Macaca mulatta: one gene and its partners. The protein of the gene in region 4 purifies or fractionates together with the protein of the main gene of each other region. This does not show direct contact. Links are inferred from orthologs where the notes say so. Each region holds a gene or a part of one and is shown on either strand. Other genes may lie near its edges. The genes, in order: DNAJB6, DNAJC7, ACLY, STIP1, CCDC117, HNRNPDL and BAG2.

Region 1 (4,695 bases), on a different chromosome or scaffold from region 4:
TGCCTGTAATCCAGCACTTTGGGAGGCCAGGGCAGGTGTATCACCTGAGGTCAGGAGTTCGAGACCAGCCTAACAACATGGTGAAACCCCCATCTCTAATAAAAACACAAAAAAATTAGCTGGGTGTGGTGGCGCATGCCTGTAATCCCAGCTACTCCGGTGGCTGAGGCAGGAGATTCGCTTGAACCTGGGAGGCGAAGTTGCAGTGAGCCAAGATGGCGCCATTGTACTCCATCACGGGCAACAGTGAAACTCCATCTCAAAAAAACAAAAATAAAAAATAAAAAAAAGGGCCAGCCGCGGTGGCTCACGCCTGTAATCCCAGCACTTTGGGAGGCCGAGTCGGGTGGATCATGAGGTCAGGAGATCAAGACCATCCCGGCTAACATGGTGAAACCCCATCTCTACTAAAAACTACAAAAAAATCAGCCGGGTATGGGGGCGGGCGCCTGTAATCCCATCTACTCGGAAGGCTGGGACAGGAGAATGGCGTGAACTTGCAGAGATCGCGCCACTGCATTACAGCCTGGGCAACAGAGCAACACTCCGTCTCAAAAAAAAAAAATGTTCAAACATACCATCCCACCCCCACCTCAGACCTGGATTTGGGTTACCTAGGTGGAAAACTGATGAAGGTGATGGGTACCACTATTCGTTTGAAACTGTCCAAATCAGTTAATAGAAAGGAATTACAGACTTGCTTAAAAATGAAAGCTAATGTATGCCACTTAGTTACAGGTATCACACTGTAATACCATATCCTTATTTCAGTCTTTACAATATTCAACAATACTCACCACCTAGTGTTCCGGAAAAACTGTCCTACAGCCAGAATTACTTCCCAAACCTAACACTTTCATATCCAGAAGAAAATAAGTTTTAAAACACTGATGTTTTGAAGAGAGTGTTGAACTCATCTCAAATTCTTCAAGAGCTTTGCCCTCTGAAATTCCCAACTTTCTCATGTTCCACAGTACAGACTAAGCCTAGTTAGGCATTTTTCAAAGGTTCTCAATCCTTTTGTTCTCCCACTTCCTGTCAAGTCTCCACATCTACCAATTTAAGGCAACTTACTTCCCAAATTTCACATCCAGAATAATCCATAAACACCCACAGCTCATTAAAGTGTGCATAAAAAATATTCACCCCTTTATCACAGAAGGCAGAAAGAAATGTGAAAGAACCAACTTCAAAGGAGCTTAAGGCTCTCAGAAGTGGAAACAAGTCTGCAGTCGGCCGGGCGCGGTGGCTCACGCCTGTAATCCCAGCACTTTGGGAGGCCGAGGCAGGCGGTTCACTTTAGGTCAGAAGTTCGAGACAAGCCTGGCCGACACGGTGAAACCCCGTCTCTACTAAAAATACAAAAATTAGTCGGGCGTGGTGGCGAGCAGCCGTAATCCCAGCTACTCAGGAGGCTGAAGCAGGAGAATCGTTTAAACCTGGGAGCTGGAGGTTGCACTGAGTGGAGATCGCGCCACTGCACCCTGGCCTGGGCAACAGAACAGACTTCGTCTCAAAAAAAAAAAAAAAAGTTTGGAGTAAACCCAAAAAGAAAACATGACGGATGGACAGGTGGAGTAGTAAGGTGGATGCATATAATTCCTTTCAGAAACCATGAATCGTTCTGATATGCAACATTATTTGGAAAAGTGCGGTTAAACACGAAGCAGCAGCAACCAAGATTTAGTAGTTAAAGTCTGTTTACTTTCCTTTCTTCGGTCTTTAGTCTTAACTTTTCTACTAAATCAATAATTTGGCTTAACTTGTAGCCACAAATCCTTACTAAATTCGCAACTCATATTAACAAAAACGTTAAAAATTACAGAGAGCTCCGCTCAGCCTACTCTTCCCCAACAGGCTGAAGCCTCTGAGCTCGCAGGCGGCATCCCTTCGGTGGTGGCACGATCGTTCTACTCGGGCTACTTCCTGCCTCGTTTACGTGAGAAAATTAGTACAGAAGTTTACGTCTGACTAGAAAACCCATCCTTTTTAAAAAATGCGCTAGCGCCAAAACCTTTCTCGAGCCAACATACGGTTTGCAGTTTATACTTCGTGTGTCACTGACCTTCCTCACTTGGGTAAGAGTTAATATAAACTTGTTACATAAACTTCAGTTGCATCAACTACGGTGCAGATTCTTTAACGCAAAGCAAAGCAGACAGACGTTCTGAATAAGAAACGCAGCCTGCTCTTCCACAAACTTCTCAACAATCCGTCCGGAGTTCTAGAAACAGGGCTCTGCGGTCCACCACCTGCTTCTTCTCCCTCCGAACTTGGCGGCACGGCAGCGGCATTCCCGCTCCGCAAGCCACTCGCGTTTCTGGTTTCAGACTCGAGGGAAGGAGCCTTAGAAAGAAGGCGCTCCACGCCTCCCACGCTGCCGGCCCCGCCGAGCCCCAGCCGAGCCCCAGCCGGCCGCTCCCAGGCCGGGCCCCACCCCCAACCGCCGCCGCGGAGGCCGGGCCGCGTTCCGGCAAGGACGCCGGGCGGGGAGGACGCGGCCGGGCGGCCCCAGCCCCCAGCCCCGGCCCCGGCCTCGGCCCCAGACCCAGAGGACGCCGCCCACCTTTCGCCCCGCAACCCCGGCCACGGCCCCCGCCCCTTCCAGTACTGCCCCGACCGGCGACCCCGGTCACCCCCCACGCTGTTGCCAGGAGCCGGGTTAGGTCCGCCGTCTGCCGGGCGCGCGCAGGGCCCTAGGCGACCTCCCCCGGCCCTCGAAACAGACTCTCACCGAGGACGGAGGCGGCTGGTGGCGGGACGCAGGGGAGGCGGGGTGACTGCCCGAATCTCCTCACAGCTCCTGCACTGCTGCGCTGGTGGTGGCGGCGTCTCCTCGCGCTTTCCTTTCTCTCCTTTCTCCGACAACAAACAGGAAATGCGTCACGCGGCGGCGGCACAGCGACGTTAACTTCCGCCCGGCCCTGACGCCGCGCATGTGCAGTTTCCACTGCCCAAAACGCGGGCCCAGCCTCGGAGGCGCCCGCCCCGCCTTCGCGAAGGTTCTCGGCTCTTCCGCCGCCCCGAAGAGGCCGGGAGACTGGGGGCGAAGGGGAGGGGAGGGGAAGCCCAGGGCGAGAGGGCGGAGCTCGGGGCCGGGTCCACCGTACCGGGGAGCCCAGAGGCGCGGACGGCGCAGAGAAGGCCGAGAAGATTCCAAACGGCACTGATTGTTCTGGGCGAGAAGGAGCCCATTCTGGAAACCGCGATGTCGTCGCGCCCTTCATCTTCGGCCGGCGGCCTCCGGAGCGCGTCCGCCGCCTCTCGCCCCGCGGTCCTCCCGTGGAGCTGGGTGGCATCTCCCCACAGCGGGACGAAAGCTGGGGCGCGGGCGCGGGCGGAGAAGTCCTCGAAGGGGAGGAAGAAGAAATCAAGCGGCGGCCAGGGAAGGCAAGCGAAGGCACCGGCCCCCGCTCGTCAATTTAGGGAAGGCCTGATACCCTAAGTTCCCCGGCGAACGGGAGTGCGTGGAGACTTCGCCGGGGAATAATGATGGAAGGAAATGGAAGCAAACTGTGGCCGAAAATACCGAAGAAGCTTTTTAGATTGAATCGTGGCAGTTGTTTCCTGAAAACGGGCCGCACTTTGATCGCTGGACTTGAGGTCATCCCCAGACTCGCGAGCCTTTCCCGCGTCCGCAGGGGTTCTGGTTCTAACCCTGGAGGTTAATACCACACGCGTGCAGATGGTGACTAGCGGGAGCAGGGAACCTCAGACCCCGCGCAGTCAGACAGGCTTTCATTCCCAGTAACGAAAGGTCCTGTAGATCCAAAGCCTAAAGAGGTCAACAAGCAGTTCCGTGCATGGAGCCTGGCCTGGATCTCCCACTGTCTTGTCTCCAGCACTCAGCCAGATGTTTGCTACTGTGTTGTCTTCGTAGCCCACCTTATCCTTTCCTTTAAGAAATAAAAATGCCAACCTGGTGTGGTGGCTCACGCCTGTAATCCCAACACTTTGGGAGGCCAAGGCAGGTGGGTTACCTGAGGTTGGGAGTTCAAGACCAGCCTGACACAAGGAGAAACCTCGTCTCTACTAAAAATGCAAAAAAAAAGTTAGCCAGGCGTGGTGGCGCATTCCTGTAATCCCATCTACTTCGGAGGCTGAGGCAAAAGAATCGCTTGAACCCAGGAGGAGGCGGTTGCAGTGAGCCGAGATCATGCCATTGCACTCCAGCCTGGGCAACAAGAGCGAAACTCTCTCAAAAAAAAAAAAGAAAAAGAAAAATTCCTTTTTGTCACACCTTTCCTGAACTTCAGATCCTGTGGCATGCTGACGCTGAATTCCGGGGGCCTGCTCAGCCACCTTCTGAACAATGCTTATGAATTCGTGATCATTTAAGCCTGGGAGATACTCAAAAGACACTTTTAACACTTGAATCACTTTTGGTTTATAATAGCTGGTTAGTAATGAAAGAGTTGGAGAAATGCCACCCCGAATTATGCCGTGTTAAGATACCAATTACTAACTAGTTCACTGATTACCACGTTAGTATGCCCTCAAACTGAGGGCACATGGGGACCTGCCAATGCAGGGAGGGGCATTCTCTGAATCCCCCGTTATGTGCGTAAAGACAGATCATCCCAAAGGAACTCAATTGTCTTGACCCCCTTCCTGGAAGTCTCATCAATAGGGAAGAATGAGCCAGTATCACCAGAGAAGAGCACCAAGGGAAGTCAGCTCCACACCCAGACAGAT
Region 2 (4,498 bases), on a different chromosome or scaffold from region 4:
TGTTTAATTCTGTCGAAAAGAGTGCTATATATGAGAAACATAAAAGTCTGATAAGAATGCATTTTTTTCTTTTTTTAATGTAACTTTTTTTTTTTTGAGATGGAGTTTTGCTCTTGTTGCCAAGGCTGGAGTGCAATGGCATGATCTCCCCTCACCGCAACCTCCACCTCCTAGGTTCAATCAATTCTCCCACCTCAGCCTCCCGACTAGCTGGGATTACAGGTGTGCGTCACCACGCCCGGCTACTTTTTGTATTTTTAGTAGAGACAGGATTTCACCGTATTAGTCACGCTGGTTTCGAACTCCTGACCTCAGGTGATCCACCTGCCTTGGCCTCCCAAAGTGCTGGGATTACAGGTGTGAGCCACCACGCCCAGCCTTTTTCCTTTTTTAATTAATTTTTTTCTCTCACTATTTGAACTACAGGGATAATACATGTTGTCATGTTTAATTTATAGTTATATTTTCTTAGTGACAGATAAAATAATTTGCATTCTGCAATCAACGACTTTTTTTCTTGAGATGGAATCTCACTCTGTCACCCAGGCTGGAGTGCAATGGCACGATCTCAGTTCACTGCAACCTCCACCTCCTGAGTTCAAGCAATTCTCCTGCCTCAGCCTCCTGTGTAACTGGGATTACATGTGCGTGCCATCACGCCCAGCTAATTTTTGTATTTTTAATAGAGACAGGGTTCTGCCACGTTGGCCACGCTGGTCTCAAACGCCTGACCCCAGCTGACCCACCTGCCTCGGCCTCCCAAAGTGCTGGGATTACAGGCTACTTAAGTAATAAGGTAGTTTACCTTATTTTGTTGTACTGCTATAAAATACCATGTTTTGTGTGATGTGGTCACATTACAGCATAACCTATTTTATTATGCGTCTTCAGGTTCATTTACTCCAATTTTATGATAGAATATCCTCTAAGGCTGTGATTGAAGAAATGTATTTGCTTTAGATAGGAGGTTTTGAAATGAAGTCCAAAATAGGGACACTCTACATCAGAGATTGACAATGAGTAGGATGAATTTTTTAAATTACCTATGGCCAGCCTGGTGCAGTGGCTCACGCCTGTAATCCCAGCATTTTGGGAGGCCGAGGCAGGAGGATCACGAGGTCAGGAGATGGAGACCATCCTGGCTAACACGGTGAAACCTCGTCTCTACTAAAAATAAAAATAAATAAAAAAAAATTAAAAAAAAAAATTAGCCGGGCATGGTGGGCACCTGTAGTCCCAGCTACTGGGGAGGCTGAGGCAGGAGAATGGTGTGAACCCAGGAGGCGGAGCTTGCAGTGAGCTGAGATCATGCCACCACACTCCAGCCTGGGCGACAGAGCGAGACTCCGTCTCAAAAAATTAAAAATAAATAAATAAATAAATTACCTATGGCCAAATCCCTATTTATAATATAAAGAAACACTGAACTCTTTCCAAATCCAAGTAACTCTCTACAATTAATTAAGCTCTGTCTGCACTGGGAGAAATTTTGTTTCCCATTGCAGCTCTTTAATGATGTATAAGGGTTGATGATGCTTAACTTTAAATATCTAGAAAGAAGCAGGAACAACATGAAAGCTCAAAATTAAGAACAGAGACTGGACTCTGGTGTCCTGGCTTCTCTGATATCCCAGGGACCTATTACACTTTGTCAGGCCCCCCAGCTCCCAACAGATCAGGAACTTGAGACACTGGCTGTGGTAACAACCTTCAAGCTTGATAACTATTCATGGCCTCCGTTCTTATATTTCTAACTCATCAGATAGTAAAAATCTCAGAATCCTGATTTCAGATCTCATGAACTAATTCTACATCACCACCTCAAATTACCCAGCCTGAAGACATAACGGGCTTGGTATGAAAATATAAAGTATGTGGGAATAAGACTGAGGGCACTGTAGGCATCTTGAACAAAAGGGTCAGATTAACCTGCAGCTGATAAGGAAAGGGCTCCAAACTTCTAGAACCTTCTTGTCAATTCTGCTTTAGTATTAGAACACGTATGACTACCCACAACTCTGTCCCAACCCCATTTCCAATAATCTGGCCTGTTGCCAGAATCTAGAGCGTTCTCGAAAACCACTCACTCAGCAGCTCCCTTGGCTAGTCCGACTGGCAGTCTCGAACCACTGCGGCTGCTTCGGTGTGCCAACAGCGCCCAAGCAGTTGCCCTCTTCCTTGGTGCTTAACTTAAGAAAGAACAGTGCTGGGAAGGATAAAGATCACCCAGGAAGGATAGGGGAAGAGGAGTCTGACACAGAGAACACGAGATAAGCCCCTCGCTCTTCCCTTTTTCTCTATCATCCTTGACTTCTGGGATAACCGGGGGCAACCAGGTCAATTATGGAGACACACAATCACCTCGAACCCAGACTAGTGATCGAAAAGGAAAACGGGGGGAGGAGAGCAAAGGTTTTAGAGATGGAAAGTGCAGACAGGCAACAATGCACAGAAGTTAACGAGAAGGAGGGAGTCAGGGGCGATGTAAGGAAGTCGTCATCGACGCCGCGCCGCCCCCCCCCCCTCGCACCAGACCTCCGAAATTGCCCTCCGAGACTCGGGCTCTCCTATAAGGACGATCGTCCTCTCAGCTGGAGAAGAAGGCCATGCCTCAGCTCCTTCGCCAGGCGGAAGCGGGAGAGGAAGGCCGACCCCCAAGAGCGCCCCTTCAGGGGGTCCATCCGGCCTTGATCTCAGATTGGGGGGGGGTTTGCGTAGGGCGGGGCATCGCCTCAACAGCTGGGGGCTGCATCATGGCAGGAACGGGTTTCCCTGAGCCACGGAGCTGCAGCTTGCCTCCTCTACTACCCTGCTACCCGGTTACCTCTTCGCCTCTTCGTCGTCGAGCAGCTCTGGCTCGGTCGCCGCCATTACCACATCGCACTCCGCGGCAGCCGCCATCTTACCGCCGGGACCAGAGAGCTGGGTGGGAGGCCGGCGGTGAAGAGCACTTCCGGTTGGAGCATAGAGCAGCTCAGCGGCGCCTCGCCCAGAAGGGCTCCCTCGGGCTCGTCTACCAGAGAGAGGCTCCGCTTGGGGCCAGAGCGGCCTCCCGTCCCCGGATGTCCAGGGTGGTCTCCGCGCCGGGGCGGGAGCCCAGGGACTGTGCCTGTGCGTAGGCGGCGCCACTTTACCCGTGGATGGGAATGGAGGTGTACGGGTGGTAGCCTCTCTAGGGCTTGATTGGTTTCAGTATTCCAAGAGCCTCGTTGCCATAGCAACTTCCAATCCTAGAGAGTCTTCCTTAAAGGCTCCGTGGAGTCTGGGTTGGGTGGGGACCAGGTGACCCAAGACTGTAGGGAAAGAGTCCCCACTGCTACCTTTCCGACCTTGGAGTGTGTTCACAGCTTCTTCCCGGGAAAGGCAAGAGCCACTCTGAGCCCAGTTCCCCCAGCTTTCATCGTTCTCTGGAAGCCCTACCCAATCAAGCCAGGGGAACGTAGGGCGTCTTCATCCTGCGCCTTTCATCCACTCCGGATCTCCAAACACCAACTGGTTCATCACCCTAATGACGCTGACCCTTTTACGAGGCTGCTTTCATGTCAGCCGCCTGGGAGTGCCATCTCAGCATTAAGCCTAGGAAAGCTGACACATGGCGCCCCAGACCCTGCCCTGGAGTTTATAAGGAAGCTCGCTGGGTGAGGTCCCTGCTCTTGTGTCCCCATTACTCCTACCTCTTATATAAACTCTCTACTCATCACGCTTGTCTTGCCGAATGCGGTCTGGATTGAGAACTCACAGGGGACAAGGGCACAGTTTAATTGTCTTGTTATTCCCTCACCCAAGCCACTATTTGTGGAGCTGAATTGAATTGGAGCTTTCTGGGGTTAAATTGGAGGCGTATTAGGAGTAGCTTTACAATGTAAAGCTAAGAGTAGCTAAAATGAGAAGAGGGCAAAGGAATTTTTAAAAGGATTTACCTGTTTCTTCCAGGAAAACAGCATGTGCCAATGCTCCTACCCTGCCTATCCCAGTGTGGAGGGAACTGAAACCACAGCGACCACTGAGTAGGGAGGGATAGGACAAGCTTACTAGGTTGGAAAGGAGGGGTCATTCGTTGAGCCAATCACTCAATAGCCCTTTCCAAAACGCCTACTTTGTGCTAGGTTGTGAGGGCACAAGACTTACAGACCACCTGCCCTGCCTGTCAGTGGCTCATAGTCCAGTCTAATGCTAGCCAACCTGTCTCACCATCTTCCCACTTTATGTTCTAAGGCAACTCATTTATTCCCACAGCTTTACTTCCATCTGTTGATGACTCTCAACTCTACATATCTCCAACCTAGACCTTTCTTCAGCTTCCACAGCTGCATATCCAACTATCTACTGGATATCTCTTGTATGTTTCACAAATCCCCAAAGCTTACCATATTTAAACTTAACTTTTCATTGTCTACCTACACCTGAACAACAGAAAAAACAAATGCTGGATGTAATTATTATCTTTCCTAAATTCCATATCTTGTTAAATGGATTAAACCATCCTCACTCTTGGCTT
Region 3 (4,012 bases), on a different chromosome or scaffold from region 4:
CACAATTTTCACAATTAAAACTCAAAACAGCTTCATTTTGACACAAAAAAGAAAGTTATAGGAGACACTGAGAGCAGGGCAGGCCCTCGCCATCATCCCTCGAAGCCCTCTGGGATGCCACTGCTTTCCTCTGCCCCAAATTCCCACACCAAAGTGGCAGGACCCCACCCCCCAGGCCACACACATGTGGATGCTGGGTAGCTGGGCTGGCCTCTCTTCAGCAACCCCCTTCAGTCACCTGTACACGACAGAGGCGCCACCCCCGGCCACCATGGTCCAGATCCTCCCCTTGGGGTTCAGCAAGGTCAGCTTCAGGCTTGCCCCACTTTTGGCATCTAGGTCTGCAATGTAGGCTTCCTGGGGAGCAGAGAGCAACAGGTAGGCCCTCGGGGTGCCCCCTTTACCAGGTCCCAGATCCTAGGATCCCTCCCCGCTTTCCCTGGAGGCACACGAAGAGGTCACTAATCACTTTAATGGGGTGGGAAAAAGGGGCTAATCAGGGCCCCACATGCCTTGAAGACACTTGATGGCATCTCCAAGTACCAAAACCACCCTTAGTCACAGTCACTGCCTGGGGACAAACTTCCCATCTCCCTTCTCTGATGTCAAGTCCTTGGCCCTCTGCCTAAGTCCTGAGCCTCACCATGTCCCTCTGCTTAACCGTGACCTCACCCCAGCATCTGCCTGCCCAGCCCATCACATGTCCCCCACCACCCCAGGACTCCCCAGGCCAGACTGTCTCCCAGCCCAGCCTCTTCCCTGGGCCTGGGGTACTTCCCAGAAAGCCCAACCCTGCTGTGAAGACTTCTCAGAGGACAGAGTGGGAAAGAGCAATTAAAACTCCCAGTGAGAAGCCGAGAGAACGACCTTCCGTCAGGATTAGGGGGAGCCACTTGGAATCACGGAGAGGCAACAAATCAAGTGAAGAGTCGAGGGAGGCTGATTGAGAGAGAAATCTAAAAGGATTTCTGGCTGGGATTCAGAGGCTTGGCTCACCCCCACCCCCACCCCACTGGGGTTTTAAGAAAATTAAATGCTTCTCGGTCTTCCTTTCCCTGCCAAATAAACAGCTCATGAAGGGGGGCCAAATGCACATCAGAGATGAGTCACCTCCCCACCGCCCTCCCCCCAGTCCCCATCTCCTCTCTAAACCAGCCTTACCTCTGGATATGCCTCCCGCCCGAAGGGGGGAGGGAACTCGATGTCACCCCACTTCACTTTGCAGATGTAGTCGGCAGTGGCGTCCACCTTGGCCGCCAAGTCAAGGACATAGACTCCATCTTTGGTCACTACTTCAAGGGGGAGCAGAGGCAACCATCAGACACTGGCTCTGGATAGAGACGACCACCAACCTCCAACCCCTCCACAAACACCGCTCCCATGGTGGCCCATTCAGGCCTCAGAACTCTCTAAGCTCAATAAGAAACCAGAGTGGCCCTTATGGAGACAGAGCGTTTCTCCATTAAAGGCAAAACAAATTCTACAAGGCCATTTCCCTCTCCCTAACCTACAGGTAATGGGACATGGAGGTCTGTATTAGTTGCCATGGCAATTTTCAAACATCTGTACAAAACGCCACACTCCCTGCTTTGAATATCTAACCATGCGCAAACCCATGGTCTGGCCACTTTTTAAAAGTGTTTAAAGGCACCTGTTGCTGACAGAAGACCCCCCCACCGGCATGCACATCTATGTCTCCCAGGGCCTGGCTAGGGGAAGCCACAGTGTCAGGTGGAGCAGGAGCCGCGGGGTGCACTGGACTCTCAGTCAGCAGGATTCGTTTATACTACCTCACTGGACACCCATCTTCCTCCTCCCCCAGGGCCATTTAGCTGATTGAGTTAGCACAAGGCCATCTGGTCCATTAGAGGGGCTGCATCCTCAGCCAGAATGATTTGATTTCTCGCCTTCCTGGACTTTGCCCTGAGAAGTCCCGGCCAGAGCCAGCCCACGCCACTCTCCCCCAACACCACCTGCTTCCTTCACATCCCAAGAGGCTGAGAACAAGCTCTTCCCAGCGTCAAGGGTTAATGATTGACCAACTCCCACAGAGGGAGGCAAGTGTGGGGCCTCTGAGTGCACCAGGAAGAATGAAGGGCCAGAGGGTGAAAGCAGTGCAGAGGCTGCCGACCTCCTGCTGTCAGACAGCCTGACCTGGCATGAGGAGCAGCAGCACACAGTCAGATCAAAACCAGGACTTCTGGCCGAGCGTGGTGGCTCACGCCTGTAATCTCAGCACTTTGGGAGGCCAAGGCAGGCAGATTACCTGAAGTCAGGAGTTCAAGACCAGCCTGACCAACATGGTGAAACCCCGTCTCTACTAAAAATACAAAAATTAGCCGGGCGTGGTGGCGGGCACCTGTAATCGCAGCTACTCGGGAGACTGAGGCAGAAAAACTGCTTGAGCCCAGGAGGTGGAGGTTGCAGTGAGCCGAGATTGTGCCACTATACTCCAGCCTGGGCGACAGGACAAGACGGTCTCAAAAACAAACAAAACAAAACAAAACAAAACAGGACTTCCCCACTTCAGAGCAAGTTAAGACCAAAGAGAGGCTGGAGTTGACTAAGAGAACTACAGTCTTCTGAGAGCTCAGAAACAGGAACTGGCACTAAATGAGCATGGGAAGCCCTCCGCTTGTGCACATCTGTCTTGTGCTGCCCTCTAGCAAGTGGGAGTCTGGTTGGGACCCTTGCCCCCTCCCAGCCTAGCACACCCAGTTACCAAGGGGATTGATCTCGAGGTAGGTGAAGTACAGGTCCTCGTAGAAATTGAAGAGGCCGGAGATAAAACTGGCCAGAATTCTAGAGGTGGGAGGGAGAGAGGGACAGTTCATCGATCAGGGAGCAGCTCGGCAGCACCCCAGGCATCCCACAGCAATCTCACTGCCACTGACAGCTCCATTTCCCGACACGCATCCCGCCGGCCCGTCCATCTCCTCTGCAACCCCTGCTCCCTGGACATCGCTCTTCAGCCACTGAGGCGGAAAGGAGCTGTCAGGAGAGAAGCTGGAGGCAGAGGTGTCAGACAGACAGGGGCAAGGAGGTGAGAGATGCTGGCGGCATATTTCAGTCTGGTTGCGAGCCAGTCCCCGCCCTGCATCCAGCTGTCTTCCTCAAGACAGGGCTGTGCCTACCACCTGACACCCAGAGAGGAGACCACTCTGCTCTCCCTGGTCTATGCCCAGAGCCTGTCAGTCTTCTCATCCCAACTGCCACCTCCCTACCGTCCCTTTTACTCAACTCTTTCTTGTCTTCAGGGGCGTGGACCAACAGGTGTTTTTTGATGTCCTCAGGATTCAGTTTCTCATCCACGCCAACAAGTAGCTTCTGGGCCTTGGCGTCCACATCACCCACGTCCACACCCCCCTCATGGTGGAACAGGACGTAGTCCCCTTCTCGGGTGGCATAGATGCAGACATAGAACTCCTCCGCCTTGCAGGTGAAGAGACGGGATAGTGGGATTGGGGTTGGGGGGTGAAGCTGGTGAGGGGCACTGAACTGGGGAAGATGGGGGGGGGTCTACCATGTACTGGGAGAGGAAACCAATCCCCATGGTCTCATTTTCTAAAACCCAGTAAAAAACATTCATCCAGAGACTTGTCTACCATCTTTTCCCCAAGGATAAGCAGAAGAAGCCACTAACTCACTGGCTGATGGTCCAGACTAAATCAGTGTGACTCCAGCTGAGGAATGGGGCCCGCCTGCAGGTCGTTCTCATCCCTGCGCTGGGAAGTCCCCTTTGTTACCAGTCCTAACTCCTCCCTGCTGCAGACCAAGTCCTTTCCTTCCCCTCTGGACTCCTGAGTCCACAGCACCCTCAGATCCTCAGTGCAGCTTCAGGGACCCTGGTCCCTCTGACTGTCCTCATCAGCTTGACTTCTTTCATCATGTTACGGCAGACAAACCCAAGGTTCCAGGAGGGAGAAGACCCAGCCTGGAGCCGCCTCACACATACCTGACTGTGGGGGACGAAGGGCTCGATCAAAAAGTTCTTGAGGAAGCCTGTGGCCTT
Region 4 (4,530 bases):
GGGAAACATAGCAAAACCTCTGTCTCTACAAAAAATTTAAAAATTAGCCAGTTGTGGTGGCGTGTGGTTAGCTACTCAGGAGGCTGAGGCAGGAGGATCGCTTGAGGCCAGGAATTTGATGCTGCAGTGAGCTATGATCCCACCAGTGCACTTCAGCCTGGGCCACAGAACCAGACCCTGTCTCTAAAAAATAAATAATAAATTTGGTAACAGCAGAAAGAGGTCCTTTCTCTTTTTTTCAAGACGGAGTCTCACTCTGTCGCCCAGACTAGAGTGTGGTGGCACAATCACAGCTCACTGCAACCTACGCCTCCAGGGGTGAAGCGATTCCCCTGCCTCAGCCTCCCCAGTAGCTGGGATTATTGGCATGCGCCACCATGCCCCGCTAATTTTTGTACGTTTATTACAGAGGGGGTTTCACCATGTTGGCCAGGCTGGTCTCGAACTCCTGACCTCTGGTGATTCGCCCGCTTTGGCTTCCCAAAGTGCTGGGGATTATACGTGCGAGCTACTGCACCCAGCCGAGATCCTTTCTTAAAAGTAAAAGAGCAATGTCTTATTCCAGAAAATTTTTCCTCACCTATAATACAGCCCATTTAATCCTAGATACAACTGAAGCATTATATGGGCACAAAAAGTTTATTAACTTCATTTCCACTCTTTTTAATACAGCAAGGAAGCTAGAGCTTTGCCTAAAGCAGCAACTGCTACAAGAGACCAAAGGCTCAGCTCTGTAACTCCACCAAAAAAAGGGTGGTAGTCACTAGTCCATCGAGATGTCTTACTTAAGGGGAGCGTGTGGGCAATCTTAGTTTTATGGATCTGAAGTAAGAACCAAATACCAGGTATAGTTTCAGAACTGTCACCCCGAAGTGTTATGGGCCCGGAGCGACGAGGGTAGTACTCTCGAGCAGATGATTTCTCAGATGTTGGTAGAGGTTTCTCGGAGGTTGTTTTGTTCTTTTTCTTCCGATGAATCATTATAGCTCAATGACAGCTTCCAATGGAACAAAATCTCTAGGCCTTTCACAACCACAAGCTACTGAGGACATAACCAAGTCACTGAAAGGAAGCAGCAGCCGCTTCAAACTCTGCCCCCCAAATGCTCAACAGAGGCCCATAACTTCTAGCGGTTAATCTCTGCAAATTGTCTACAACCGCCCCAGTGTAGCTAGAAATCCACCTTTCGGAAGTGTCGGTCCTCGGTCACTCGACAATCACACACACGCATACAAAAAGAGGGGGAGGGGCCGCAATACATTTGTAAACCACTGTCAGAGATGGAATTCGTTCCAAGGACTTTTGCGGCACCCTTCCCTTTACTGCATCAGCTACACTCGGTCTGTAGCTCCTCAAATCCCCGCTCAACGCTCTCCCACCCTCACATTCTCAGATGCAGAAGAGTAAGATTTGCCCCAACTGGATCTCAGGCTGCTAAGACCCAGTGTATTCCCGTCCCCGCTCCCTGGATCCGTCCAAGTTCCTCGTGGCTAAGTCCGAGCGGTTTCTCCGTCGGCTGTCTCAGATCTCCCGGAGCGCTACCTCGCGGGTGCCGACCCCGGCCCCTGGCCTAACTCCACCCCGCCCTCTGCGGCCCGCACCCTCCCCAGCATAGCCTGCAGCAGCCCCTTCGGGACGCCTTCAGGGCCCGGTCGCGGCCCCTCTTCCCGCCGCCGGCCGGACTCACCCAAGCTGTGGCCTCCTCCCGGCCCTCTTCGCCCAACCAAGGGGCGATGGGCGCTCCCCGCGGCCGGCCTCTACAGATCCCGCTCCCGCCCGCCGCCCGCGGCCCTCGCCTCCCCGCCGCCGCCCCGTCCGGCTCCAGCACCCAGCTCCGGTCGCCCAGATCTGGCACCCGCCCCGCCCCCTACCGCGGGCCTGGCCTCCGCCGGTCCCCGAGCGGTCTCGGGGCCTCAGCCCGCCCCTCCCCCTTCACCTGCTCCATAGCGCAGCGCGGCCCGGAACCCCGTTGAATCGAATCCGTCCGCTCCGCGATCCCAACCGCACGCGCCGCCTTCTGGAACCTACTAGAAGCTGCCGGGACCCCGGCTCCCGCCCCTTCCTCGCCTGCTCACTGGTCGAGTACTTCTAGGGGGCTGTCTGTGCTGTTCTACTACTGGCTTGAGGTCCAGCCCATCATCTCCACTTCCCTCTCATTGGACAGCGGGGAGTGATTCCCTCAACCCTGCCTCCCCCGCACCTCAGGATTGGACGCCGCTCTATAAACCCACCCATCTCAGGCTGCACGAACGGAGGGAGGAGCGGACTTCTGCGACACAGATTGGTCTTTTGCTCTGCCAATCGTAGCAGCGCTGGCCGCGCCCATTGGTTCCGTTCGTTCTGGAAATTTCCACCTCTCCCATTGGGCTGCCGGACTCCAAGTCGGAACCGCCTTCAGAATGAGAGCGATTCCAATTGGGCGGAGGGTTGCCAACCCTTTGCGCTGATTGGTTTAAATCGCTGCCTTTCAAAAGGCCCGGTTTCGCCCCGCCCGTGGCATATGGCAGTCCCGGCCGTAGTCCGGTACTGTAGCCGTGTCTCCGGCGGCTGCGGTGCCTGTGGGTTACTTTCCATCTGGATCCCTAGTGCCGCGAGTTCCAGGCGGTCCCCGGGATCGCCAGCGGCACAGGGCCCCAGCCTTTCGCCCACGCATCGAGATGGAGGTCCTAGCCGGTCGCGCTGCGTGGTCCTCGACCGCCAGTTGCGCGCGTTGTTCAGCGCTGCGGCCTCGGCCTGGCCCTCCTGCATTCTGGCTGTTAGGTTCCAGAAATGCCACGTGACCGCGAGGGCGCTTGGGCTTGGGCTGGACAGGCAGGGGATCTCATCGCGGCGGGTGCGGCTGTTCTGCTGGGCGTCCTCAGTGGAACCGCACACCCTCTCTGAGTCGTTTGGTCCTGTAGGGCCGAGGGGAATTCGTGCGGTGTTTAGCACGCGGAAAGTACTTAGCGAAAGGGAGCTGTCCCCCAGCCCTCGTGAGTCCGATGTAAAGGAGTGAAAGAGACGAAGAGCTGAATCAGGTAGTTAACCGCCTATGAGCTGGCTAGCTGTGGCCTGGTAGAGCCTTAAATCCCAGCCCCAGAAGTCAGAGTCAGGGCAGGCACCCCAAAGCGTGGAAGAGATGCACCTGCGGAGTGAAAATGCTGCTATTGCTTCTAGAGTCAGCTGTGGTTCCTGGAACAAAGGAGCCGCATGACTCGGGTCTGGCAATGGTCTTGGGCTCTGCAGTGTCCTCATCCTTCCCCCTCTCTGGGTAATGCCATCTTCCCAGGGTTTAAAGTGTGTCCTCTCTGCCAATAGCTTGTCTCCACAGCCTCATCTTTAATCCCACCTGCCCCACCCATTTTGGACACTGCAGCCAAGTTGCTGCAGACCTGCAAACCTGGTAATCCCTCACTTGAAAGTGCTGAAGGCTTTAGGGTGGGGTTCAGGGCCTGTGTAATCCAACCGCCTGCTTTTTTTTTTTTTTTTTTTTTTTTTTTTTTTTTTTGAGACAGAGTTGAGCCTCACTGTCTCCAGGCTGAAGTGCAGTGGCGCCATCACAGCTCCCTGCAGCCTGGACCTCCTGAGCTCAAGCCATCCTCCCACCTCAGCCTCTCAAGTACCTGGGGTTACAGGCAGGCACCACTACGCCTAGCTAATTTTTCTATTTTTTTGTATAGACGGATTTCTTCGTGTTGTCCAGGCTAGTCTTAAACTCCTGCTCTGTCTCTCAGGCTAGAGTGCAGTGGGGCGATCTCGGCTCCCTGCAACCTCTGCCTCCCCGGTTCAAGCAATTATCCTGCCTCAGTCTCCCAAGTAGCTAGGATTACATGTGTGCGCTACCACGCCCGGCTAATTTTTTAATTTTTAGTAGAGACGGGGTTTCCCCATGTTGACCAGGCTGGTCTCAGACTCCTGACCTCAAGTGATCCTCCCGCCTCGGCCTCCCAAAGTGCTGGGTTTACAGACCCAGCACTTCGCCCTGCGGTTTTGCATTTTCAATAGTGAGGCATGGTGAGAAAAGACTTAAAGAAAGCAAGGGAGTGAGATCCTTGGAAATGTGGGGGAGAACTTTGCAGGCCCATGGAACAGCCAGTGCAAAGGCCCTGGGATGGGAGCTGCCTCGGGGTAGCCAGGATGGCAGGAGGCACAGCTGCCGAGAGGAAGTAGGGGCCAGGTCCTGTAGGGTTAGAGGCCATTGCCACTCCCGAACACATTGGCAGGTTTTGAGCAGAGGAGTGTCATGATCTTAAGTTTTCTCAGGATCCCTCTGGCTGCTGTGTGGAGGAAGAGGGGAGAGTGAGAGCAGGGTTACCTCTTAGGAGGCTGTGGCAGTAATCCCAGGGAGCCAGGATGAGAGCAGAGGAGGGGACAGGAATAGGATTCTGGATGCATTTTGGAGGGAGCATGAAGGAAAGCGGGGTCAAGGGTTCCTCTGAGGCCTTGGCCTCCTCTCTTATTCATCTACATCCAATCTGTCAAGGACACCTTTCATTTCTTCTTGGCACTGTCTCCAGGCCACCACACGTGCCCACCTGACCAGCAGTGGCC
Region 5 (3,358 bases), on a different chromosome or scaffold from region 4:
AATGTTAACCATCTCCCCAGTCTTGTCCTTTCTGATACCATGAAAACAGGTTTGAAGAGGGAATTTGATGAAGTTTTTACAAAGAAAATGATTGAGTCTATGTAAGTTTTGGTACCTGATTTCTATTTATTTATGATCTTGCAGGGAAAACCCAGTGTCTAGATTCTGCCCATCCTGTCCTCGTCAGCTCTTTTTATCTCCTGATCACCAGGCAATCGGAGATTGGCTTTTTCCTAGTTCATTGGGTTGAGCAAAGTGCTTTATAAGCAGAAGTTTGAAGTATGGGGAAGTGGCTGCCTTGCCTACTTACTCTTTCGTTCCTTTGAAGACCTAAAATGGACTGTAGTCTGCTATTTGGAAATGGGATGACTGGCAAGAGAGCCCACTCTCTCAAGTTCTTGTGATAGGATATAGGAACCACATTTCAAAGGCTCCTGTTTACCCGGCTTTCTAAATTACCCAGGAACAACATTGAGGCCTAGGAAACAAAAAAAAAGTGGCCCATCAGTGAAAGTAGTTACTGCAAAGACTGCAAAACAAAGCTCATATTCTTGGCTCATTAGCATAGTCCTTCCAGGCCTTTAGCAGAGCTGTTTTGCTTTTAATCTAAACACAGTTTATGAGCTCAGTTATCTGGTTTCCTAGATCATCAGAGTAGAAGCAGAAACAGCAAATGAGAGCAGAACAAACAAAACTTCTAACAGGGAGCTGTGACTACACTGTGAGGACAAGAGAGGAACCTGGAAAGCAAACACAATAACCTAAAAAGTAAAGTGGCCTGGGGCCTGTGAGTAATGATTAGCCCAGCCCTGTAATCCTGTAGTCCCTGAAGCCTCCATGATCTCAAATTGTCATTATTAACTATGTAAAATAGTAGGGAAGTTGGTTATAAAGTGCCATTTAGGTATTGCCTAGGAAAGACTTTAGATGGAGTTGGTACCCAATGAGGGCAAGTTTCAGGTATCTGAAAAAACTTCTTAGGACACCAGTCTCAGTGAGGCCAGATAGATGAGGCATTATTACCTTTGGATACAGGGGAGATGATTTGTGCTAGAAGTTCAGCTGCTATTTGGTCTTATCACAGAGGTTTTGCATTAGGGTCCTATCTTGAGCTTATAATTAACTACCCAGCCCTATGGGTGGGTAAATAGCCATAAGTAAGCTGGTCACGTTACCCTCCAGCCTAAAACATAGCACTTTCTGCTTTTGGTAGTTTTCCAGAAGCTAGCCTTTGGGGGTATTTCATTGTTTTGTTTTATTTTTGCTTCCTCTTTGGGCCCAGACACCATTGCTGCCACAGTGTGTGTATAACATAGTCATTTTGCCTTAACCGTGAAGCTTGTTTTGTTTTGCTTTGTTTTGTGTTTTGAGACAGGGTCTCACTCTCACCCAGGCTGGAGTGTAGTGTGGCATGATCACAGTTCACCACAGACTTGACCTCCCGGGCTCAGGTGATCCTCCCACCTCAGCCTCCCGAGTAGCTGGGACTACAGGCACCCAGCTAATTTTTGTATTTTTTGTAGAGACAGGGTTCACCACATTGCCCGGGCTGGTTGCAAACTCCTGGGCTCAAACCGTCTGCCTGGCTCGGCCTCCCAAAGTGATAGGATTACAGGCACAAGCCACCATGCCTGACCCATAAAGCATTATACTTTGTACCTGTACTAAAAGGCACCTGAGATACTTTCAGCATGTTTGTCCAGTGTTTCCTTTTCATTTATAATGATTTAGTATAAGCTAGCTGCCTACATCTAATATTAACCACAGTTTTAAAAAATTTCTAACAATCAAGGGCTCTGTGTTTTCACATTGGATTTTTAGATACTTCCCATCACAGCATCATTACATCCACTTGATTTGGTTAGATATACATGTTGAAGTGTGCAGTGTTATGTATTTGAGGGGCGTTTCTAAAGATCAGTTGGAGCCAGGCATGGTGGTAATGTGCCTGTAGTCCTAATTACTGGGAAGGCTAAAGTGGGTAGATTACTTGAGTCCAGGAGTTAAAGGCTGCAGTGAGCTATGACTGTGCCACTGTACTCCACCCTGGACAACACAGCAAGACCCCCATCTCTTTAAAAAAAAAAAAAAAAAAGAAAGTAAAGATCAGTTTGTGTGTTCTAAATATCCTGTTTTGCTGCCATCAGTCCTTAAGGTATTAGGTAATGTTGGCTTTTCAACCTATAGCTTTTGTTTTCATGTCCTAAAATTTTTTGATAAAAGTCTGTATTTTATGTCTTAGGAGCCGTCCTTCCATGGAGCTTGTTCTCTGGAAACCCCTCCCTGAACTCCTTTCTGATAAGCCAAAGCCATCCTCTAATACTAAGAACTATACAGGAGAGAGCCAAGCTAAGCATGCAGCTGCTGGCACTACCTTCCCTCAGAGAACTGAACTGTTCTTGGAATCTCGGCAACCAGGGATGTCTCTTTATAATAGTTTGGAGACAGCTACTAGCACAGAAGAAGAGATGGAACTCTAGAAACCAATTTCTACACTAAAGTTGTCAAATGTTAGAAGAATCCTGTGTTCAGTTATGAGACTCTTTGCATAGTATAGGGACTTGAAAGTTTTATGAAACGGGTGTAATAATATCTCCACCTGTGATTTGGGGGTGGGACTCTCATTTTGGGTAGCCATTTATTGACTTCAACTTTTTGCCAAGGAAGTTTGTCTCAAGGGAAAAGCAGTTTTCTGTGGGGCTTATTAAAGGAATGTTGGTTTACAGTTTCTTCGAAGATTACAGCCTCTTCAAAGACAAGTATAGAAGCTGTATGTGTAAGGGTGACTTAAATCATATATCACATTGTCTAAACTATTCAGACACTTGGAGAATATTCTCCTTGAATTCAAAAAAGATGATTAAGAAGGATGCTCCTACTACAGCTGTATCCTGACAGTTAAGTCACAGTTTAGTGTGTAGATATGAGCTGTTTACAGTGGTGCCTATATCTAATTGGGGAGGAGGGAAAAGAGCAGTAGCTTAAGCCTGTTGCTAAGAAATCTAATTTCTTAGCAACTTGTAATTTAGTTATCAATTCAATATAGCTCATTGATAGCCAGTAGTATTGTGGCTCTCCTCTTTGACTATGAAAATAATAGAGAAAGTTTTTCCTTCAAGGCTTTTTTGCCTTGTGCCACTGTTACTCCTTGGTTTCCCTTGCGTAATTGATAAGCCCAGTTATTCAGTAATGTTTACAAATTAATTGACTTTCAATGATAGTTAAAAGACTGATGTAACCCATCTGCAATTTGCCTATGGGAGAAGCATCCTTTAGTTCATCCTAAGGAAGTGCTTGGTCAACTAAGCCCAGCATTGATAACTTTAGTAGTTTTTTAAAAAGTTATACTTGTATTAGC
Region 6 (4,692 bases), on a different chromosome or scaffold from region 4:
GTTGCTGCCTATATACCTCTTTGGGTTGTGCAACTTTGATTTCACACTATAAACAAATTAAAAAACACGAAAATAGAATTTTTACTCAAGTTCTAAAATTTAATCATTTTATTTTTCTCAAACACATTGAGAAATTTCAAAAACTAAAAGATAAAAAAATAAAGAAAAAAGAAATCCTTAAAATTTTCATTTAAAGTACTTAAATGGCTTTACCTTCCCAGAACCAATTTGATGGTATCTGCTTTCTAACAATTTTTTTACTGGCTCTTCATCGGTGTATGTGATAAAACAAAATCCTCTTCTCTCATTTGTTTTTGTATCCATGGGAAGTTCAATATTTTCAATCTGAAATCGAGATGCACACTCAAGGTCATCCCATAATTGTAAAATGCTACCAGAGTGTCAGAATGCCACAGGTACTTTTCAGGCTTCAACTTAAACATGTTATTCTTATCAGGTGACTTCTATACAGACATCACTGCTTTATGATCAACATCAGCCTTCAGTGATTTGTTGTATATTTGAAGCATTGAGAGAAAAGTAAAACATCCTTTAATATTATTTTGTACCCCAAAGATGCCACTAACTAACAAGTCCAAACACCGACCACATTTAAGTGCCCATGTTTTGGCTAAATTAAGATAGTTGGGTTTCCATCAGAGCAGCAATCAAATCAAGGTACAGTCCCTGGAAGCGACTTGAGCAGTCATTTAATCCTACCCTCACACGAAACATGAATCTGCCCTGTATAAATCGGACCAGGATTAAACATTTTATAAACACATCAAGCTTAACATGTGTAAACATAATCACACACCTCTCCAAAGGCTCCAAAATATTCTTTAATTTGTTCTTCAGAAGTATCCGGGCTCAATCCACCCACAAAAACCTTTTTGGGGGGTTCTTTCCCTTTTAAAGCTTTGGCCCTTTTGGGATCTATCAATTTGCCATCCAGTTTGTGTTCTTTCAGTTCCAAAACCTACAAGACAGATTTATTTAATCTGACAGCAGCATATAACCCCCAGAAAAATGTGCAAAACACTACAAAAGCAGCACAATGCAAAACACAGTTCCTACCTTATCAACACTAGCAGCATCTTTGAAAAGCACAAATCCAAATCCTCTTGATCTCCCAGTGACTGGATCTGTTTTAATTGTGCAGTCTACAACTTCCCCAAATCGAGACAAATACTCTGTCAGATCTTTTTTGCTTGTATCCCAGCTCAAGCCTCCAATAAACATTTTACTAGAAATAAAAGGTTTTTTAAAAAATTAACAGTAACTCAAATGGTCCTTCAGTTCTGGAATTAAATCGTAGAATAAAAACAGGAACATTTATCCCCTAAGTGTAAGCAATTTAATCCATGTTTACATTTAATCTATTTCACACAAAAATCCCAATATCCCAACAAAGTTACTCAAACCAGCGGACAGCTCGCTCTCCGCACTACATAAAGCAAAACTCAAAGGAGACCAATAAAATATAGTAAAGGTTCTGCCCAGATTGCTTCAGCTACAAGGCCCAACTTCCTAGATGAATCCCTCACATCTTATCTTAGGTCCATCCTCGTCCTCAGCTGTCAAGCCAACGTTCCACCCAGAGAACTCATCAATCATAATACGTTTTGTGAATCTGGGTACCAGTCGCCTGCTTGTGCCCGAACTCAGAGTCCTCTAAAACTCTTCCCAGGAAAACCGCGCCGAGTGGTAACAGACACACAATGAAGAGGCGTCGGCAGCTGCAGCGAGCGGCGCTGGGAGGCCGGCCCCTCCCCCCCGGGTCCCACGCGGCGCCTGCGCGCTCGGGACAGAGACGCCGCCGCCCTCCTCCTCCAACCCCTCCGCCCTTCCCCCACTCTTCCCGGGTCTCTCCAGTCACCCCCTCGATCTCTTACTTTCCTCTTCCCTCCAAGCTAGTGGGGCCCAGAGGGCACGCGGGGAATCGACTCTGAGAAAGAATGGGGGCAGCGCGCGGCTCACGAGGGACGAAGGGCGCGTGCGGCGCGCTGGGGGAGGGGGAGCGGGGGAAGAAGCGTGCGGTACCCGTCATCCTGCTGATTCTTGCTCGCGTTTATCTTGGATCCCTCTGCGAATTCTTCTATGTTGCTGTACTCGTTCATATCCTCCATAGTGGCGGAGCTGTTGGCAGGGGGGTGCTGGCGCGCAGTCCGGGTCGCGGCAGCAGCGGCGGCGGAGCGTTGTATGGAGCTGGATTTAAAATGGCGGCGGAAGAGATCCGGGCGCCGCCTGCGCCCTCCCTTTATAGTCGCCCCGCCCGCCAATCGGGAGGGCTGCTGGGCGGTGACGTGGCGCTGGGCCCGGCGCGCCCCCTGCCGGGCGGAGCTGGGAGCGAGTGAAGGGAGGAGCGGGGCTAGCTGCCGCGGCGCCCGCGGCCGCCAATGGGAGAGGCTGCGGGAGGCTAAAGTAGCGGGAGCGGAGGGGAACAATGGCGGCGGCACATGGGAAAGCCGGGGCGGGACCTCCATCGCGGCCCTCCCGGCAAGGAGAGAGGCCACGCGTGAGGGGACGCGGGCTTGGGAGAAGAGAAGAATCAGAAGAGAAAAACGAAGGGGCGTAAAGTCCTGGGGTCAGCAGTCCCGAACAGAGCCGACGCAAGGCCACAGTCCCTCTTGCCTTGGGAGCCTTTGTCTCTGGCGTCCGGTCCAGCCCACTCCTACCAAAGAGCCGTGAACCCCGCCTTTTTCTGCCCTCGGTTCGCCAGTGCGGAGCCGCTGCGGCGGCCGCTGCTACCGACTAGCACCGCGGCCGGGCTACTCCGGAAAAAGGCGGACTGCGCCCGGCGCTGGCGACTGAGGCGGCGAGCGCGCTCGCCCGCCGCGCGCACGCGTGTTTTGTCCTCGAGCTGGCAGGAACCAGCCGAACAGGAAGCGGGCGCGCGACGGCCCCTCCGGACAGCGCAGCGCGGGCGTCTCTTCCGCTGTGGCCACGGGCGCGCGGGCCGAGGGGGCGCAGCGAGGCCTCCTGGCTGATCGGCCGAAGCCCGAGCCCCGCGCGGCCTCTCTGGCAGGCTGAGGCCGGGAGGAGGGGCGGAGGCTGGCCAGATGACTGTATCTATGCAAGGACGGAGGCGGTGGGCGGGGAGGGGGCTGGATGCAGTAGAGGGCAAGGGGCACTCACATCCCCGGCGCGCCACTCGCGGGGCTCCCTTCTGCACGTGCCCCGGGCCTCTCCCGCTCGCTCAACCTGTCTGCGGAGGGCGCGCTCTCGCGCATCCTGCTCCCGCGTTCGCTTCTTTGTTCCCGCCCACGCGAGGCCCATTTTGACGGATCGCGTTCGAGGCCCGACGGCGACCAATTGGCGCTGGGCTTTCGCACCCCGCCCCGCCGAACCCAGCACGGCCCGCCCCTTTTCCTGCCCACGTGGTCTCGGGCTCCTGCCCCGTCCTGCTCACGAGTTCAGGGGCTCCTGGGCGGCCGCCTTTTCCAGTGCCAGGTGTGCAGAGGTGTTCTCTTCCCTACGCGCGGCGGGCTGCACTTGGTCGCTGACTCCAAGATCGCGCGGGGCCGTCGGAAGCCCAGGACGGTACCGGGGGCAGCAGCCGCAGCCGGCGCCGCCCTCCACCCTCCCCGACTGCAGGCCGAGTCCCGTAGCATCCGGAAGGGAAATGGTCGTGCTTTCGGTCCCCGCCGAAGTCACCGTGATCCTGTTAGATATCGAAGGTACCACAACCCCGATTGCTTTCGTGAAGGTGAGGGGCGGAAGGGAGCGGGGATGTTACTTCTCCTTAAAAACAGTTATTATTTTTTTCTAAGTATTGCAGGCCTTGCATTAGAGACGAGGGTTAGGAGAGGCGCTGTGGCTTTGCCTCTTCTGTGGAATGGGGAGGGAGGAGAGAAAGCCTGCGGCGGGTGGCGGGGATGCTTTTCCTCGCGGCACTAGCTTCTCCCTCCCCCGCCCTTGGGCTTGGTTGGATCCAGATGGGTGGGAAGGGATGGAAGTTGAAGCTAAAAATCGCCGAAGGGCAGGTAAGCCGGGGCGGGGTGTGACCGTGTGGGCCTCCCTACCCGGCAGGTGTGCACCCGGTCGCTTCCGCCGGTGAGCGCAGCCTTTCTGCTCCGTCGGGCCTGGTGTGGCAGCGGCAGCGATTTAATGGTCCTTGAAGCTTCTAATCTCAAAATGGAAAGACTGAAGTGTCAAGAGGAGTCTTCAGGTGGCCCTGGTGTCGGGCAATCAAGGTTCCTCTTTGCCCCTTCCCACTCTTGCTGTTAGTGGCCAAACTGCACGCTGTATTACTTTACTCTGTTAGGCTCTGTGGTCCACAGCGCTGATTTTTTTTGAGCGATAGGACACGTTTAGATTCCGTTCACTTTCCTCAGAAAACCGTAGAAGCTTGAAGCTCTTATCCAGAGCGTTCCTTCTAGGATGTCATTGTGAACCAGCACTTGTCTGCACCTCAGCTTACAACTTAGCGGATTCCTTCTTTATTCTTTGTCTGTTAGAATAAGTAAATATGAAATGTTACTTTAATTTTTGAAAGAATTCCTCAGGCCTTGTCTTTTTATTTGGCTCCCTGAGGTTTAAGAATTCATTGCAGGCCGGGTGCGGTGGCTCACACCGGTAATCCCAGCACTTTGGAAGACTGAGGCGAGCGGATCACGAGGTCAGGAGATCGAGACCATCCTGGCTAACACGGTGAAACTCAGTCTCTACTAAAAATACAAAAAATTAGCC
Region 7 (3,303 bases), on a different chromosome or scaffold from region 4:
CAAGGTCAAGGAGGCAGAACCAGAATAATTTGTGGTAGAAAAAGTCCTGGGCTGATGTGGAAGCCATGGGAAGCAGGGAGCAGTAGTAGTTCCCAGAGTGGAAGGGATTTACGAATGCTGACAATACTTGAGAACTTGAAGAAAACCTGACTATCCATTTCTTAATTTTCAAAAAGCTGGTCAAGAAAAAAATGATGCACACAAAAAAATCATCTCACAGCCTGATGACAGCAAATCAGAGTCTGCTAACAAACCAAGTGGCTTTGCCATAGATAGAATTAATGTTTCCCATGAAATGGAAAGATTTAAATAAGGCAGAGTTGGAGCTGGCAAAGGAAGTAACACAAATGTCTTCAGATTTTAACTGCTTTTTATAAAGAGACTAACTTGGCATTTTTGTAGAGAAAAAGAAGTTCAATATTGCTTGCATTGAGAGAGAGAGACATATATAAAATCAGTTTGGATCCTGATTTGGTTTTTCAGTGTGAAGAATACCTACATTGAAATAAAAATTGATGTGTTCATTTCAAAATAGTATCTAGGGAAGTTGTTGCGTTTATATCAACAGGACTAGTTACTTTAAACAAATAAGTGTTCTCTAGTTGCTTCACTTTATCACAGATAAAAGAAGAATCAACACACTGGTCAACCTTTTTAGTAAACAAAATGCAAACTAAGTGTTAATGCTCAGTGCTGGAAAGAGTTCAGTGAAATAGCTATATTTTATTTACTGAAAAAAGTATAAATTGCTATAACCTTTGTACAAAAAATTTTTAATAAGTGTGTGAGGCCATGAAAATGTCTATACCCTTTGATCCAATATAATTCACTGCTGGGCCTTTATACAGAGAAAATTGAAAACAAAAGAAGGAAAAAGCCCTGCGTACAAAAATATGTTGCAGTAATAGCAACAAGCTGGAAGCAACCTAAATGTCCGTAAGATGGGAATGGATAAAGAAAGATATAACTACACAAAATAGAGCTCATTAAGTTGACAAGCAGGCTTTATATCAGCATCTAACTTTTTTAAAAAGGCAAGTTACAATATAGGAATTCTAGAGAATTGATGCATTTGAGAAAAGATGAAGCAGATATATAATTGTTCACAGTGGCAAATTATAGGTGGTTTTCTCACATTTTATGTCATAGTTTCTTGTATATCAAAAAATACATTCATATTATGAGACACAGGAATCTTTACATCCAAAATAATTTGATATAGATGCCTTAACATTGAGGAATGAGACAACTTTGGAAAGACTGTTGTTTTGTGATTCCTTTTTATCCCTCTAAGCACAGTGCTTTGTTAACACTGTGTGTAGTAAATGTGTGTGCTGCTTAAGGTAAAGAATTTCTAGTCAACTAAATGCCCAAGGTGACTGCGTGATTCCACGCCAAAGCACAGGAAAAAGCAGTGATGCTTTTGCCCCTAGCTGAACACTTGTTTTCCCCCACAAACTGTATTCATCCACAGAATAGTGAAATATGCTAGATCCTAGTACAAGATGAGAATTCAATCTAAAAAATCTCTAGATAGATAATTAAAATATTGCTAGTTTTGTTATTCACAAAACTGAAGATACTTGATGGAATATTTTCCTCATCTGAAACAACTGTCAGTATCAACTAAGTGGTTATATCTAACATAAAGAACTAGTTATCAATTAAAATAGTATTTTATCATTTTTACACCATGTGTATTGTGTAAATGCTGTTGGGTTTGAAGACTAATTGAATTTGCTTTCAGCATTTTGTTGCAGAGTTTTGGTACCAGCTCCTTTAGAATGCTCTAATAGCTTGATGGCCTTGTCAGAGTTTTCAATATTTCTAAGCAGAGTCTCTAATCTTCTCTTAATTTTCTTCTGATCTTCAAGAGCACAGCCAATTACTATGGATTGAAACTTCTGATCAACCGGCCCATGTGGCACCTCAGATGAACATGCACTGTAGAGCGACATTAAATGACTCTTGGCATTTCCCAAATCATCCAGAAACTTATTGACCACCTCATCAATAATCCTTGTGGCATGCTTTAGGGATTCTTGCTGCTGGGGGTTTCTAATTGTTTCTACTGACACTTCAACGGTGAGAGTTCTTCCCATCAAACGGTTTGCAGTCAGATTTAATTCTTCTCTTTCTCCTAAAATGTCAATCAATATGAGACATAAACTTATCTGTGTCAAGAACATTAAGGCATTTGTGACTAAATGTATTAAGTATCTGCTATGAAATTTTTTTAAAGATACAAGCTAAAATTATAGCATGTAAGATTAACTGATGAAATGTATTAGATTACAGAGAGAGGTTGTAGAATACCATTTCCTGACAATCTTTATATATGGGATACTAGATGACTTCTCAAATTGGCATGTTTGCAAAAGTTTGGGTAGGTATGCATTTGTAACTGGGATGGAGATCAAGTCTTAACCCTTTGAGCAGTAAGCACATATAGGATTTATGTTGGGTACAGCTCCAGAGATCAGATGTCCCAGATCTCTCCATAACGACATGTGCATTTATCAGAATACACTGCCCCAAATTTTGGTTGAGAAAATATAGCCATGATAGAAGATAAGCTGGCATCAATACTAGGCACTGACTTCATGCTTCTCCAGATAGAAACAGGACAGTGGTCTAAAGTCTTGACCGGCATGAGGAGCTCTATCAACATTTCATTATTTATATGAAAAAGTCAGCAATCTCCTGCTTCTGTAACTTCCTAATTCATTGATCTTTGGGCAGGACAGTGTAGAGACTAGATCATGGCCTACCATAGATGTGTAACAGTTTTGATCTGGATTTAGATTGCTTACTTATCTCACCAGTCACTTGGCCCAGTAACATGTGGCCTGTGTGGCACCAAAGGAGCCCAAGTAGGAAGTCCAGTGCCAATAAAAAGAAAATCACAAGTGACCTATTCCTACCTATTACATGTTCTTCACATGAAAATGACAGCACAGGCTAGGCGTGATGTCACATGCCTGTAATCCCAGCACTTTGGGAGGCCGAGGCAGGCAAAATCACCTGAGGTCAGGAGTTCGAGACCAGCTTGGCCAACATGGTGAAACCCTGTCTTTACTAAAAATACAAAAATTAGCCAGGTGTGGTGGCAGGCGCCTATAATCCCAGCTACTCAGGAGACTGAGGCAGGAGAATCACTTGAACCCGGGAGGCGGAGGTTGCAGTGAGCCAAGGTCGTGCCACTGCACTCCAGCCTGGGTGACGAGTGAAACTCCATCTCATAAAAAGAAAAAAGAAAATGACAGCACATTTTTACATTCATGCCTTTTACTGGTCCTACAA

Evidence for each region.
Region 1: the proteins of STIP1 (region 4) and DNAJB6 purify together in Homo sapiens (affinity purification with mass spectrometry; 3 studies listed by BioGRID and IntAct, with this or other methods). This does not show direct contact. The link is inferred for Macaca mulatta from reciprocal best matches to the Homo sapiens genes STIP1 and DNAJB6.
Region 2: the proteins of STIP1 (region 4) and DNAJC7 purify together in Homo sapiens (affinity purification with mass spectrometry; 4 studies listed by BioGRID and IntAct, with this or other methods). This does not show direct contact. The link is inferred for Macaca mulatta from reciprocal best matches to the Homo sapiens genes STIP1 and DNAJC7.
Region 3: the proteins of STIP1 (region 4) and ACLY fractionate together in Homo sapiens (co-fractionation; 3 studies listed by BioGRID, with this or other methods). This does not show direct contact. The link is inferred for Macaca mulatta from reciprocal best matches to the Homo sapiens genes STIP1 and ACLY.
Region 5: the proteins of STIP1 (region 4) and CCDC117 purify together in Homo sapiens (affinity purification with mass spectrometry; 5 studies listed by BioGRID and IntAct, counting the BioPlex papers as one, with this or other methods). This does not show direct contact. The link is inferred for Macaca mulatta from reciprocal best matches to the Homo sapiens genes STIP1 and CCDC117.
Region 6: the proteins of STIP1 (region 4) and HNRNPDL fractionate together in Homo sapiens (co-fractionation; 3 studies listed by BioGRID, with this or other methods). This does not show direct contact. The link is inferred for Macaca mulatta from reciprocal best matches to the Homo sapiens genes STIP1 and HNRNPDL.
Region 7: the proteins of STIP1 (region 4) and BAG2 purify together in Homo sapiens (affinity purification with mass spectrometry; 3 studies listed by BioGRID and IntAct, with this or other methods). This does not show direct contact. The link is inferred for Macaca mulatta from reciprocal best matches to the Homo sapiens genes STIP1 and BAG2.

Annotation. Positions count from the first base shown.
Region 1 is NC_133408.1:196,808,378-196,813,072, reverse strand, and holds the start of DNAJB6 (dnaJ homolog subfamily B member 6), read right to left. Parts: upstream 2,864-4,695; 5' UTR 2,735-2,863; intron 1-2,734. UniProt on the Homo sapiens protein: Has a stimulatory effect on the ATPase activity of HSP70 in a dose-dependent and time-dependent manner and hence acts as a co-chaperone of HSP70. Plays an indispensable role in the organization of KRT8/KRT18 filaments.
Region 2 is NC_133421.1:66,356,607-66,361,104, forward strand, and holds the start of DNAJC7 (dnaJ homolog subfamily C member 7), read right to left. Parts: upstream 2,926-4,498; 5' UTR 2,902-2,925; coding exon 2,825-2,901; exon of another isoform or gene 2,205-2,824; intron 1,168-2,204; exon of another isoform or gene 1,044-1,167; intron 765-1,043; exon of another isoform or gene 61-764; intron 1-60. UniProt on the Homo sapiens protein: Acts as a co-chaperone regulating the molecular chaperones HSP70 and HSP90 in folding of steroid receptors, such as the glucocorticoid receptor and the progesterone receptor.
Region 3 is NC_133421.1:66,241,874-66,245,885, forward strand, and holds part of ACLY (ATP-citrate synthase), read right to left. Parts: coding exon of another isoform or gene 3,956-4,012; intron 3,494-3,955; coding exon of another isoform or gene 3,481-3,493; coding exon 3,242-3,480; intron 2,803-3,241; coding exon 2,723-2,802; intron 1,293-2,722; coding exon 1,162-1,292; intron 358-1,161; coding exon 239-357; intron 1-238. UniProt on the Homo sapiens protein: Catalyzes the cleavage of citrate into oxaloacetate and acetyl-CoA, the latter serving as common substrate in multiple biochemical reactions in protein, carbohydrate and lipid metabolism.
Region 4 is NC_133419.1:10,215,969-10,220,498, forward strand, and holds the start of STIP1 (stress-induced-phosphoprotein 1), read right to left. Parts: upstream 2,916-4,530; 5' UTR 2,364-2,915; coding exon 2,232-2,363; intron 2,037-2,231; exon of another isoform or gene 1,946-2,036; coding exon of another isoform or gene 1,937-1,945; intron 1-1,936. UniProt on the Homo sapiens protein: Acts as a co-chaperone for HSP90AA1. Mediates the association of the molecular chaperones HSPA8/HSC70 and HSP90.
Region 5 is NC_133415.1:22,768,257-22,771,614, reverse strand, and holds part of CCDC117 (coiled-coil domain-containing protein 117), read left to right. Parts: coding exon 1-101; exon of another isoform or gene 102-2,104; intron 2,105-2,242; coding exon 2,243-2,480; 3' UTR 2,481-3,358. UniProt on the Homo sapiens protein: Facilitates DNA repair, cell cycle progression, and cell proliferation through its interaction with CIAO2B.
Region 6 is NC_133410.1:51,380,020-51,384,711, reverse strand, and holds the start of HNRNPDL (heterogeneous nuclear ribonucleoprotein D-like), read right to left. Parts: upstream 3,012-4,692; 5' UTR 2,487-3,011; coding exon 2,044-2,486; intron 1,247-2,043; coding exon 1,078-1,246; intron 980-1,077; coding exon 818-979; intron 346-817; coding exon 214-345; intron 47-213; coding exon 1-46. Other genes in the region: ENOPH1 (enolase-phosphatase E1), read left to right, coding at 3,626-3,709. UniProt on the Homo sapiens protein: Acts as a transcriptional regulator. Promotes transcription repression. Promotes transcription activation in differentiated myotubes. Binds to double- and single-stranded DNA sequences. Binds to the transcription suppressor CATR sequence of the COX5B promoter.
Region 7 is NC_133409.1:125,106,575-125,109,877, forward strand, and holds the end of BAG2 (BAG family molecular chaperone regulator 2), read right to left. Parts: intron 2,141-3,303; coding exon 1,728-2,140; 3' UTR 916-1,727; downstream 1-915. UniProt on the Homo sapiens protein: Co-chaperone for HSP70 and HSC70 chaperone proteins. Acts as a nucleotide-exchange factor (NEF) promoting the release of ADP from the HSP70 and HSC70 proteins thereby triggering client/substrate protein release.